Linked DNA regions of Macaca mulatta. The protein of the gene in region 1 interacts with the protein of each later gene in a pairwise test. Links are inferred from orthologs where the notes say so. Each region holds a gene or a part of one and is shown in the gene's direction. Other genes may lie near its edges.

The links. The genes of interacting proteins can lie anywhere in the genome.
Region 2: the proteins of WASL (region 1) and RNF8 interact in binary tests that used the Homo sapiens proteins (3 or more experiments, as listed by UniProt). The two-hybrid records come from large-scale screens. The link is inferred for Macaca mulatta from reciprocal best matches to the Homo sapiens genes WASL and RNF8.

What each region holds. Positions count from the first base shown.
Region 1 is NC_133408.1:163,547,234-163,553,159, reverse strand, and holds the start of WASL (actin nucleation-promoting factor WASL), read left to right. Parts: upstream 1-2,178; 5' UTR 2,179-2,433; coding exon 2,434-2,550; intron 2,551-5,926. UniProt on the Homo sapiens protein: Regulates actin polymerization by stimulating the actin-nucleating activity of the Arp2/3 complex. Involved in various processes, such as mitosis and cytokinesis, via its role in the regulation of actin polymerization.
Region 2 is NC_133409.1:144,881,641-144,887,436, reverse strand, and holds the start of RNF8 (E3 ubiquitin-protein ligase RNF8), read left to right. Parts: upstream 1-2,056; 5' UTR 2,057-2,178; coding exon 2,179-2,289; intron 2,290-5,796. UniProt on the Homo sapiens protein: E3 ubiquitin-protein ligase that plays a key role in DNA damage signaling via 2 distinct roles: by mediating the 'Lys-63'-linked ubiquitination of histones H2A and H2AX and promoting the recruitment of DNA repair proteins at double-strand breaks (DSBs) sites, and by catalyzing 'Lys-48'-linked ubiquitination to remove target proteins from DNA damage sites.

The sequences.
Region 1 (5,926 bases):
GAAGAGTCAGACTTAAAACAAAGGTAAGAATACATATATTAAGTCTTGATCCCTTAGCTCAGGGAAAGCAGAACAGACCATAGGCAAGGACTGTCAGTGGCCGACAACTAATACTTGAGTAATCATTATGTATCAGGTACTTTACATGTGATATCTTTTTTTAATGTCTTATAATTTTAGTTTAAAAAAATTTTAATAGACAATAACTGCACATATTTATGGGGGTACACAGTGATGTTGCAATACATATAACGTATAGTGATTAGATCAGGGTAATTAGCATATCTATCATCTCAGAAACATTATGTCTTTGTTTTGGGAACATGCAATATCCTTCCAGCTATTTGAAACTATATAGTATTGTTAACTACAGTCATCCTACAGTGCTACAGAACACTAGAACTTACACCTCCTATCTAGTTGTAATTTTGTATTTTACAACTTCGAAGTAGGTGTAATTATCCCTATTTAGACTATACTTGTATGAAACAGAAATTATTTTCATTTTACAGATGAGGAAACTGAGACGCAGAGAAGTAATCTGTCCAAAGTCCACTGGGTTATAAGATTCATAACAAGAACTACAACTTGGGTCTATCTGAATCTTAAACTTCTGGCACTATACTTGCTCACAGGTTTGAAAAGAAGAGCTTTAATTTCTACTATTTCTCAAGAATTTGTAATGCTTTCTCTTGTCACTGTGCTTTCAACTTACAGGGGTTGCAGTTTTGATAAAAGACAAACTGATTTAGCTCTAGCTTTGTTAGATCTGTAATTCAGAAGCAACTCCAGGCTTCCATTTCTACTAATGCTTTCTAAATCTAATTATGTTATAAATAGTCCTGTTGCTTTAATTCACTTTTTACCCTAACATTATTAATCAAGTTTAACTTTGAAATCTCCATATTTTATGTGAGACCTCCCAAGGCTATCCAATCTTATTTTCCTTTGTAAATTTATTGTTGCTCAGCCTATTTCATTAAGGACAGCTTTAATTTTAATACTTTATAATTATTTTCAAAGTGCATGATAATGGTTTATCAGTCTGGTTAGTACATCAGAGATTTCTATTGGCGCTATCAGAGATGTTAACATCCAACAGTTTTACCAAAGTGTAACTGTTATAGATGTCTTGTTTAACATGTAACTTTTTTGTTTATTGGAATTAAGCAATTACCAGACATGAATTTATGCAACAAAAATGTTTAATGTGAACAGTGACATGCATATTTGATAGCTCACTGCAGTCTGCATCATTGTCTCGATTCCAAAATTTCATTTTAAGCCGTTTAGTACTTACAGAACAAAGGGGGTTATCTTAGGTAACTTTTAATATCCTGGGCTATTTTCCAATTCACGATACAGGGGGAAAAAAATGTGTCCAGGGCCCTTAAAAGAAAATACTTTGAATTTAAATATGACACATACATTAAGCCCACGTGACACGCCAGGGAGGCGGTGGAAGTCAAGTGCATTTGTTTTTGTTACATCCATCAGGGCGATCTCTTTCACAATTCTGGGAGAGGCCTGTTTGTTCCTCCACTCCCACAGTTGAAGTTTGGACAAAGTTTGAGAAAATCCCAGGCACCTGCGGCTCCTAGTGAAGCCCGCGAGGAGCATAGGGGAAAGCACCTCTTCCCCAGTTTTCAGTCTTCAGATCGCAGGCCTCTCGAACCCGCAGAGCGAGCGTCACGCTGCCGCGCCTGAGAAATGAGCGCTATTTCAAGGACAGGCCCTGGGTCCTCACTGACGCTTCGCAAAGGTGTGCGTCCGCCCAAGGAAAGCCGGCGGCGCAGCGACGGCGAGGAGTCTCCCCACCCATCTTTTCTTCAAGCAGCAGTAGCTGGGTCTGGGTACCCAACCGACGAGCCGAGACGCCAGAAGCCAGAGGACGAAGTTGAAAGCCTGCGCCCCGAGCCAACCGGAATTCCACTTAGCTCCGCGCGGTCCGCGCCTCGGCCGGAAGGGGGCGTGGCTTCGGGCCGGCGCGGCGAGGCCCGCCGCCGAGTGGGGGGGGTTCCTCCCGGGCCCCGGCCGCGCGTTTCCGGTGCGCTCCCCCGCGCCCTCCGTCCTGTGGTCTCGCCCGTCCCCGCTGCCATGTTGGATTGTGCGGCCGCCGCCGCCGCCGCTGCGGGAGGGTTGGGGGAGGAGTTGGGAGTTTAGCGCAGTCGCTGGAGTGCGAGGACAACGACCATCCGGCCCTATCCTGGCCGGGCGGGAGCTGGGAGCTTCCCTTTCTCAGCGCGGCCCGAAGGTGGCTCGCCGTCGGCGCCTGCGACCCTCGACCTCCTCCTCCTCCGCGCTCCGGAGGAGCTGCGAGATGTGGCGCCTCTGACTCCGCTTCTCCCCGCCCCTGTCACCGAGAGGGGTAACGAGCTCTCGCCCACTCGCGGGAGGAGACGGCCCTGGACTCCCAACCCTGCCGGCGAAACCATGAGCTCCGTCCAGCAGCAGCCGCCGCCGCCGCGGAGGGTCACCAACGTGGGGTCCCTGCTGCTCACCCCGCAGGAGAACGAGTCCCTCTTCACTTTCCTCGGCAAGAAATGTGTGGTCAGTGGATAAGAACCGCGTCGCCACCCGTGACATTACCTCACGGGCCCAGACTTGGGGGCCGGGAAGTGGGAGTAGGGAAGGAGGCGGGAGCGGCGCGGGGAGGGTCCCGCTTGTCGGCCAGGCCTCCCGCCAGCCCCGGCCCCTCGTCGGCGCCCTCGCCCTGCTCCCTGGGTGCGGGCTGTGGCGGTCGGGCGCCGCCTCCCCGAGCTTTGGGGAACAAGGGAGTGTCACCTCCGCAGGCCTGTCCTCCAGCCTGGCCGGGCCTCGGTCCGCGCCCTGGCTGCTGGTTAAAACTTTACTCTCAGGCCGCAAGGGGATTTTCTTGTAAGAGTCGCTTGGTCCCAGAATCTGGGCCCTTGCTCTAGCTCTCGCGTCACCTCCTCCTGCTGGATCTGGGGGTACCTTCCTTAACAATGCCAGGTTTGAGGAGTGGATAGGTCGGGGAAGGAAGGTGGTTTTCACTCTCCCATTAGGATTCCAGGAGGGAATGAAGTCGAGTGCAAGAGCCTGGGCTCTCTTCAGATTAGAGAGGATAAAAAAATTGTTACTGCTCTTCGTTAAAGAGAAACAAGATTGATTTCTCCAGCAACCTTGTCTAGGCCTGGTTTCTACTTTCCTTCCCACTGATTTTTTCCCCCATTGGTGGGAGGGGGTGCTGCTTTCCCCGCAGCCATGCGCAGGGAAACCTCAATCTCTGGTAGTTCTTGGTTTTTGGGGCCGAGAATGATTCTTAGTTTGGTGCTGTGCGGCCAATTCCAACCCCAGATGGCCGGTTGGGAGCGAGCAGTTCTGCTGTGGGAAGGGGAATGTGTGTTGTTGACGGAAGCATTCGTTACATTGGCTGCTGGCACTTCTGGGGGTGGGGAGGTTCTGCTCTGTGGTATAGGCCTTGTCGGAATCATACTGCGGTGCTGGGTTGAAGTGTGGTTTGTTGAAATCCTGGCTGGGTCTCTTTCTCTCCACTTTGTTTGCTAGCACCTGCAGAGTACGTGCCACTGGAATCCAGAAAACACGGAAATTTCAACAAAGCAATACCATTTTATAACTCCTTTAATGTTAGGTATGCCAAACCAGATTTCACCTGCTTCTTTACGAAGTTAGGGTTAGACAATTTCTGGAAAGTTCTTGGATTAATTGTTAACGTCGTAGGAGTCCACCCTTTGTATCTTGTGCCATCCGGTTGGAGATTGAATCGTTCCATTCAATTTCAGATGTGTTTCAAATTTCGGAACTTAGACCTTAGAGAACATTGAGTTTCGTGATTAGAAGGATGAAACGAGAGGAGTGGCTCAAAACGAGAATTTTGGTTAACAACTTTAAGCCCCTCCCCATTCACACACTTTTTTCAACAAATGAGAAAACTGATCCAGTGAGCCCAAGTCATACAACAGTTTAACGATGTAACCAGAACCAGAAAACCGGGACTCCTCATGCCTCGTCCTATCCCATGGTACTTTCCACTACATCATGTTGTTTTAGAAGGGTGTTTTTTTTTTTTTCTTGTTACCGATTTATTTCCAAAAGTGGTGTTAAAGGAATAACCACTTTGCCTTTTTCACCAAAAACTAATTAAAATACAAGATTCTTAAAGCACCACTAATGTTTGCATATGTTCAGTTTAGGAAAATCTCCAGCACTTTGAATGTTAGTTACCTCCAATGAAAAAAAAATTCAGTTGTTGGTTTAGTAGATTAGCTGTGTAACCTGTATCAAAAAGGAAGTAGTCATACTGTGTTCTACATACCACACACATTAACTTTACGCAGAAAGAACATTACATTTATACACAAGTATAGTAATTGTCCTGTGCTTACCTATAGTTTTACTGGTTTCAAAAAATGGCAGATGGGGAAAAATACTGTGATAGGGAAAAATGATGTTGCACGTTGGTTAGTGTAAGTGGATTGCTGAATAGGCTGTCAGTATTCAGTGCTTAATTTCTTTACGCCATCTTTTATTAATTAACTTTACCTTTTGCATTTCTGTCATTTAAAAACCACACTGTGTCAGTTGCCTGCTTCTGTGGGATAAGTCGTTGCATACACTAATTTCAAAAATTGAAGTCCCTAGTTAATAGAGAGTTAAGAGTGATATTTTAATTTTTGAAATAATCTTTTTCTCCCTTTGCTGATTATGCAGGGTTTTTTTTGTCTTTTAAAACATTACCGAAATACATTGTCTCATAATAAATCCAGCAGTAAGATTTACAGGTCAGACCAAATGTGTTAGGCAGAAGAGTACTCAGAGCTCTATTTAAGAATTCAAGAAATGAAACAGAAGCAGTTACAGTCTTAGCTCTGAAGGAGCTTCATATCTTCTTTCATTCAACAAACATGCATTGATTAAATGTTGAGGTCAAAATCTAGAAGGGCTGAAACTTGTCCTCAGGGAGCTTACTAGGTCTAAAAAGGGAAACGTGTAAACTGATAAATAAGTCAGTGCTTCAGAGTGATGTGTAAGAGGCTACTTTTCACAATAGAAAATGTCTTGGCTTTGTAATAGCAAATATGGGTTCAAACTGGGGGTCACTTTGGATAAGTTTCTTAAGCTTCCTATCCTAGATTTGGTTTTCTCATGTGTAAAACAAAGATACTATCTCATGGGTAGTTGTGTGGATTAAGACTGTGTGTAAATATATGGAAACTATTTTTATACAGGTTTAGGGGATTAAAGGAGAGAATGGGGGGAGAGAGGTTGAGTAAAAGCTTGTTAAAATGGATAACTGAATATTTATATCTAAACAGGTGCTCCCTAGGCTGATGAGAGGTATGAAACAACTTGAAAAGTTAGGAGACCTACTAATAAGTTTATTAGATTTCTTAGGGAGCAAGGAGGGCTTCTGCTTGGGCTCTCAGATTTAGGTATGCATTGGAATCATTGTGGAGATTATGAGAAATGCATATGCCTAGACCCAATTCCTAGATAATATTCAGAATCACTGGATATGAGGTGAAGCTTGGACATGTCTCTTTTTAACAAACTTAACAGAAGATTTTAAAGTATATCACAGTTTGAAAACCACTGCTGAAGACCACGTCTGATAGGATAATCCTTGAGCACATTGGAAATCTTAATAGATTTTTCTTCAGTTTTTGGTCTATATTTTGCAAATTGAAGCTCAATTAAGTTAAATCAAATTCTTTTAGTACAGCATTTCTCTGACCGCTTAAGATATCAGTGTACATTTCACAACTAAGAAGGAGATACAGTTGAGGAAGTATTGCACTCTTTAAGGGGGACTCACAAGATCATATTTGACTTAGAAAATTTTCAGGGGAAAGGTGGAGGCAGTATAGAACGTGGATTGAGGATTGTGAGGGAAAGACAAGGGAAATCAGATAGTTGTTTTATAGTAGTGCAGGTGAAATATGAT
Region 2 (5,796 bases), on another chromosome or scaffold:
CCACCTCGGCCTCTCAAAGTGCTGGGATTACAGGCATGAGCCACCATGCCCAGACCTGGCTGTTTTTTTGACAGAATTTTATTTAGGAAAATTGTTTTCCTTCATTCCCCTGGTGCAAAAGAAAAAGAAAAAGAAAAAGAAAGAGGAAGAAAGAAGGAAGGAAGGAAGGAAAAGAGAAAGAAAAGAAAGAGAAAGAAAGAAAAAGAGAAAGAAAGAAAGAGAAAGCAAGAAAGAAAAAGAGAGAAAGAAAGAAGAAAGAATGAATGAAAGAAAAGAAAGAAAGAGAAAGAAAGAAAGAAAGAAAGAGAAAGAAAGAAAGAAAGAGAAAGAAAGAAAGAAAAAAGAGAAAAAGAAATTGTTAACTAGGTGTTGGAAAACTGAAAAGACAAAAGGGGCTCAACCATTGGAGGTACTCACTACAGGCAGCAGCTATCACACTGTATGGAAAATCCAAATGAGAGGCTGAATTTAAAAACAGTTTTTTAGTTGGCCGGGCTTGGTGGCTCATGCTTGTAATCTCAGCACTTTGGAAGGCAGAGGCGGTTGGATCGCTTGAATCCAGAAGACATGGCAAAACCCGATATCTACCAAAAAATACCAAAATTAGCTGGGCTTGGTGGCGCATGCCTGTAATCCCAGCTACTCTGGAGGCTGAGGCAGGAGAATCGCTTGAACACGGAGGCAGAGGTTGCAGTGAGCCGAGATCGCGCCACTGCACTCCAGCCTGGGTGACAAGGCGAGACCCAGTCTCTAATCAATAATAATAATAATAAAATTAACACTTTTATTGAGTATAATTTACATGCCATAAAATTCACCCACTGAAAGTGTACACTTCCTTCACTTCACCTTACAGGGTCTCACTCTGTTGCTCAGGCTGCGATGCAGTGGCGCCATATTAGCTCACTGCAACCTCTGCCTCCCGGGGTCAGGAGATCCTCCCACCTCAGCCTCCCGAGTAGCGGGACTACAGGTGTGCACCACCACACCCAGCTAATTTTTCTTTTTTTTCTTTTTTCCTTTCTTTCTCTCCCTCCCTTCCTTTTTTTTTTTTTTTTTTTTTTTTTTTGTAGAGACGGTGTCTCCCCTTGTGGCCAGGTTGGTCACAACTCCTGAACTCAAGCTATCTGCCCGCCTCGACCTCCCAAAATGCTAGGATTACAGGCGTGAGCCACTGCGTCCAGCCACACTTCCATGACTTTTTAATAAACTTACACAGTTGTGCAATTGTCACCACAATCCACTTTTAGAACATTTCTACTTTCCTCCAATTTTTTTAAGCCCACCTGCATTCAATCCCCGCTCCCACACCTCGCCCCAGGTAACTGTGCTCTGTGTCTTTGTAGATTTGCCTAGTGTAATCTATTTTTTACTTCGGTAATATAAGGAGGTCGTGCAAAATAGAGACTATTTAGGAACAGACTAGGCAGACTTAAATCTGATGGAAAGTTTAAAGTTGTTTAAAAGTGGGCTATAGTTTTACATGATTTTTTTATTTTTTTATTTTTTTATTTTTTGAGACGGAGTCTCGCTCTGTCACCCAGGCTGGAGTGCGGTGGCCGGATCTCAGCTCACTGCAAGCTCCGCCTCCCGGGTTCACGCCATTCTCCTGCCTCAGCCTCCCGAGTAGCTGGGACTATAGGCGCCCGCCACCTCGCCCGGCTAGTTTTTTGTATTTTTTAGTGGAGACGGGGTTTCACCGTGTTAGCCAGGATGGTCTCGATCTCCTGACCTCGTGATCCGCCCGTCTCGGCCTCCCAAAGTGCTGGGATTACAGGCGTGAGCCACCGCGCCCGGCCCATGATTTTTTTAAAAAGAGGAAAGGTGAGGAGAGGTTCCACTTTGGGGCGACTAGGACTGAGGTGATGGTTCTGGAGGGGGCGAGCGAAGTTGTGAGGGGAGGAGAGCCCTCGCGTCACGCCCGCCCCGCCCAGGGTCGGATTGGCTCCTGACTCACCCTCTTTGCCCCAGGGCGGCCGCCGTCTCTTGCGCAGGCGCAGTGCTCCTGCTTCCTGGCCGAGGGCGGGCGAGCGGAGCCTGCATTCGCAGCGATCGCGAGCGTGTGGTGATTGCTTCTGTCTGTTGTTTAGATATGGAAGCTGAGAGGATGCACAGAGGCAGCCGGAGCCTGGGTCGGGGTCTCGCTCGGTGCTGACCGCCCCCGGGGTCGAGTAGGCGATGGGGGAGCCCGGCTTCTTCGTCACAGGAGACCGCGCCCGTGGCCGGAGCTGGTGCCTGCGGCGGGTGGGGATGAGCGCCGGGTGGCTGCTGCTGGAAGATGGGCGCGAGGTACGGGGGAAGGGGTCCTGTGGGGCGGAGGGCAGGGGCTGGAGGGAGCGGGGCTCGGGGAGGGAGGAAGGTGTCTTGCTGCGCTGAATGAATGGCAGAGAGGAGGCGGGCACCAGGAAGAGGAGCGAAGTGTCTGTGGGGGGTGGATTCCTGGGGAGAGAAGGGAGAAAGCGGTTCTGGCGCGAGCGACTGAAGGGTCTGCGGTGGGAGGTGTTTGGGGGAGAAATAGGGGCCGAATGAGAGAAAGAAAAGAGAGTTCGGCTCTGGGGAGCCATGGGGGGCCACAAGGGTTGGGGTGAGGACGGAGGCCCTGGCCCGCGGCCTGTGGGGCGAGAAGCTGGCCCCGTCCAGAGAGGCCTGGGCCAGCGGGTAGCGGGGCCGGGAAGGAGAGGGACGCGCAGAGAATGTGAGGAGACGCGGGGGTGTCGAGGAGGGGAGGGCGGGGGCTGGCCAGATCCCGTTTAGGGCGCACGGAGCCCCGCGGTGCCCAGGTCGGGGAACGGTGGCGGGGGCCGCGAGCCGCAGGGAAGCCGAGGCGGGGCCTGGCGCGTGAACTTTCTCGAGTTTGTTTTGAAAACGATTCAAGTTTTGGGCTTTGTCCCTTAAAACAAACTTTCACGTAGAAATGTCTTCCTCCTTCCCAACTCTGAGGAACATGGGCGACTTGGGCTGGGCCACATTTCTCCGGTGAGGCTCGGTACGGCCGAGTGGTACTCCCTGAGGTGGGTCGGGCAGGGATTCAGAGTTCTCTCCAGAGGCTGCCTCTCGTCTTTACTAATGCAGTTGCAAATGAAAACATTTTTAAGGGGAAAGATGCACCAGCGTGCATCTTGAAAGGGCGAGGGAGGGGGAGGAGGGAGTTAGATTGCAATCAGGTTGAGAAGGAGAACTGGGTCAGGGACAAGCTTGTCGTGACTGGGAACCACCTGGGTTTTGGAAATAATCTGTATGAAAAGTTCTCTTTGCAGTAAAAGTGGATGGTTGGTCATGATGTTGTAAATTCAGTAAGTCTTTTAAGTCTTAATGTATGTTCGGTTAGATTTTTCCTATAAGCCGTGCCGCCTCAATTCAGTCTGCCAGGTATTTACTGAGTATTTAACATTGTTTGGTGTACAGTGAGGACAAATAAAATTTCTGCGCTCGAAGAGTTTAAGGCTTGAGTGGGGAGAGGGGATTTATACGATGAAGCAGTCTAAGAACATCCATATGGGCTGTATGATCAAGTGCCAAGATGTGGATTATTTAATTCCACCCCAGAGCAGTAGTTCTTCAAGTCAGAGGAGGAATTCATGTCCAGGCTCAAATTTTGCTCGATTAGGAGGTGTTATAAAGGGTTACTTGTGTGCTGTGATCTGAGGAACACCAGGAAAACATCTCTGTATTCTATCCAAAATTCTATCCATTTTCTGGATAGAATACTTCTTCTATCCAGGTATTAGTGCCTAAAAGTCCACATGAAGCATTCAGGCTTTTAGCTTGAGCACAGATCTTTCCCTGCCTGGCCCTTTCCAACAGCAGATGTTTGTGAGAAGTTTAGCAAATTAAAACAAGAACACCTGAATGATAACCTGAATACTACACACAAAAATAAATTATTTTCATGCATAACTATTAGTTAATTTCACATACATTACTTAGTGTGATCCCTGCATACACACAACTTTCTAAGGTAACTTAGTGGGCAAGTGTTATTCCTTTAGATTCAATTGTTGTGGATTAATTTATGACTCTTCTGAATAGCTTGGTACTGCAGTCTTGGGCAGGTGGGATGGGGAGGAAGAATGAAAGCACCTGTAGGAAGGGCAAGAAGACTCCAAAGCACTCTTAGACATATTCTGAACCATTTGATAGTTCTTTGTGGGGCCACTTCTATGGGGACGGACTCGTGCAAACCGAGTGAATGGTAAAGACACAGTGGTAAGACTGTGGCTGGCTTCAGGGACCTGTGTGTAGGAGAAGCCTGCCAGGCTTGGCTGCCTGCAAGGTCAAGTCGTAGCATAGCCTGAAAAGAAGTCTGAATCAGAGGCAAGAGAAGAAGTTGTACTTATTGTAATGTCCCCACATCATAGCACAAGCTGTTTTGCACAAGATTTTAAGAGGTATGCTAATAACATTATAACAGCAAAGGTAGATCAGCGCCCTGCCTTTCCAGTTCTTAGTCTCAGATGTTGTGGATAAAATAATAAAACAGAGTTCCTTTCATTTCATTAATGGGAATACTGTAGTAAATTGTCTAAATAAGTGGCTTTAAGCTTGTTAAAGCAATGCATAGAGTTTGGTGGAAAAACAAGTAGAGATTTATTGCAAATTAGCTAGTTCTCAGGTACTATAAAGTATCTAGGCCTTTGGGGAAAACAACAGAACCTTCTCTTCCCTTTTCTTCTCTTGTATTTAGTTTTCATTAAATTTTCTGCCCCAAGGGAAAAAAGGGAAAGGATGGTTATATTTACTGGTTTGGGGGCTTTTGTTGTGGGGTGTTTTGTTTTGAGACAGAGTACTCCCTCTGTCACCCAGGCTGGAGTGCAGTGGTGTGATCACACCTCCACCTTCCCGCTTCAAGCCGTTCTTCTGCCTCAGCCTCCGAAGTAGCTGGGATTACAGATGTGCACCACTATGCCCATTTAATTTTTGTATTTTCAGTAGAGACGGGGTTTCGCCATGTTGGCCAGGCTGGTCTCGAACTCCTGGCCTCATGTGATCCGCCCGCCTGGGCTTCCCAAAGTGCTGGGATTACAGGTGTGAGCCACTGTACCAGGCCATATTTACTTGTTATTTGAGAAACAGTAGGAATTGTGCCCAGGAGGGAAGAGATAGTCTTGTGAAGGTGGGCAAGGACAAGATGATCTTTTAGATCAATAATATGTGTAAGCTGAAATGCTTGCAAAACTATTGTAAATGAAAACAACCCCTCACATATGGGTCGGCAGTCAGTTCCCATGGGAAATTTAGTGTTCCATTGAGTGGTCCTGAGATTTCCGGTTAACCTCACTGCACTCTTTAACTATAGTATAGGAGAAATATCAGTAGTACCAAGGTAAATTCTAAGACCAGGCAGTGCAGGGAAGGATATAAAAGAATGATTCCTTTTTCTGGATTCAGAGTCTGTTGGAGGCAGTTTCAGAAAAAGGCACTCTTCCACTTTTTTGGTACTGTTTTCCCCAGGCTACTCACAATGGCAGTCTGGCTGTCTCCCCTCCAGTATTAGCATGTAATATGAGATGCTTCCTCTCTTAGAGATAAAGCTACCTAAATAGAAATTTTACTGAATATGGATGACAGATAAATCCCTAACCATTCCAATTTTAACAGATATGTGTATTCAGAGGAACTTCTATAATTAATATAATTCTGGCAGAGTGTGAAAGAACTGAAAAACTTTGTGCTCAGTATTGGTGGAGTGGTCACCACAACGTTTTAAAGAGGAACAAGGGAGACCGTATGAGTTCCAACTGCTGCTCCACATTTTCCAATGGTAATACAGTCTCTAACTTCTGACATAAAAACACC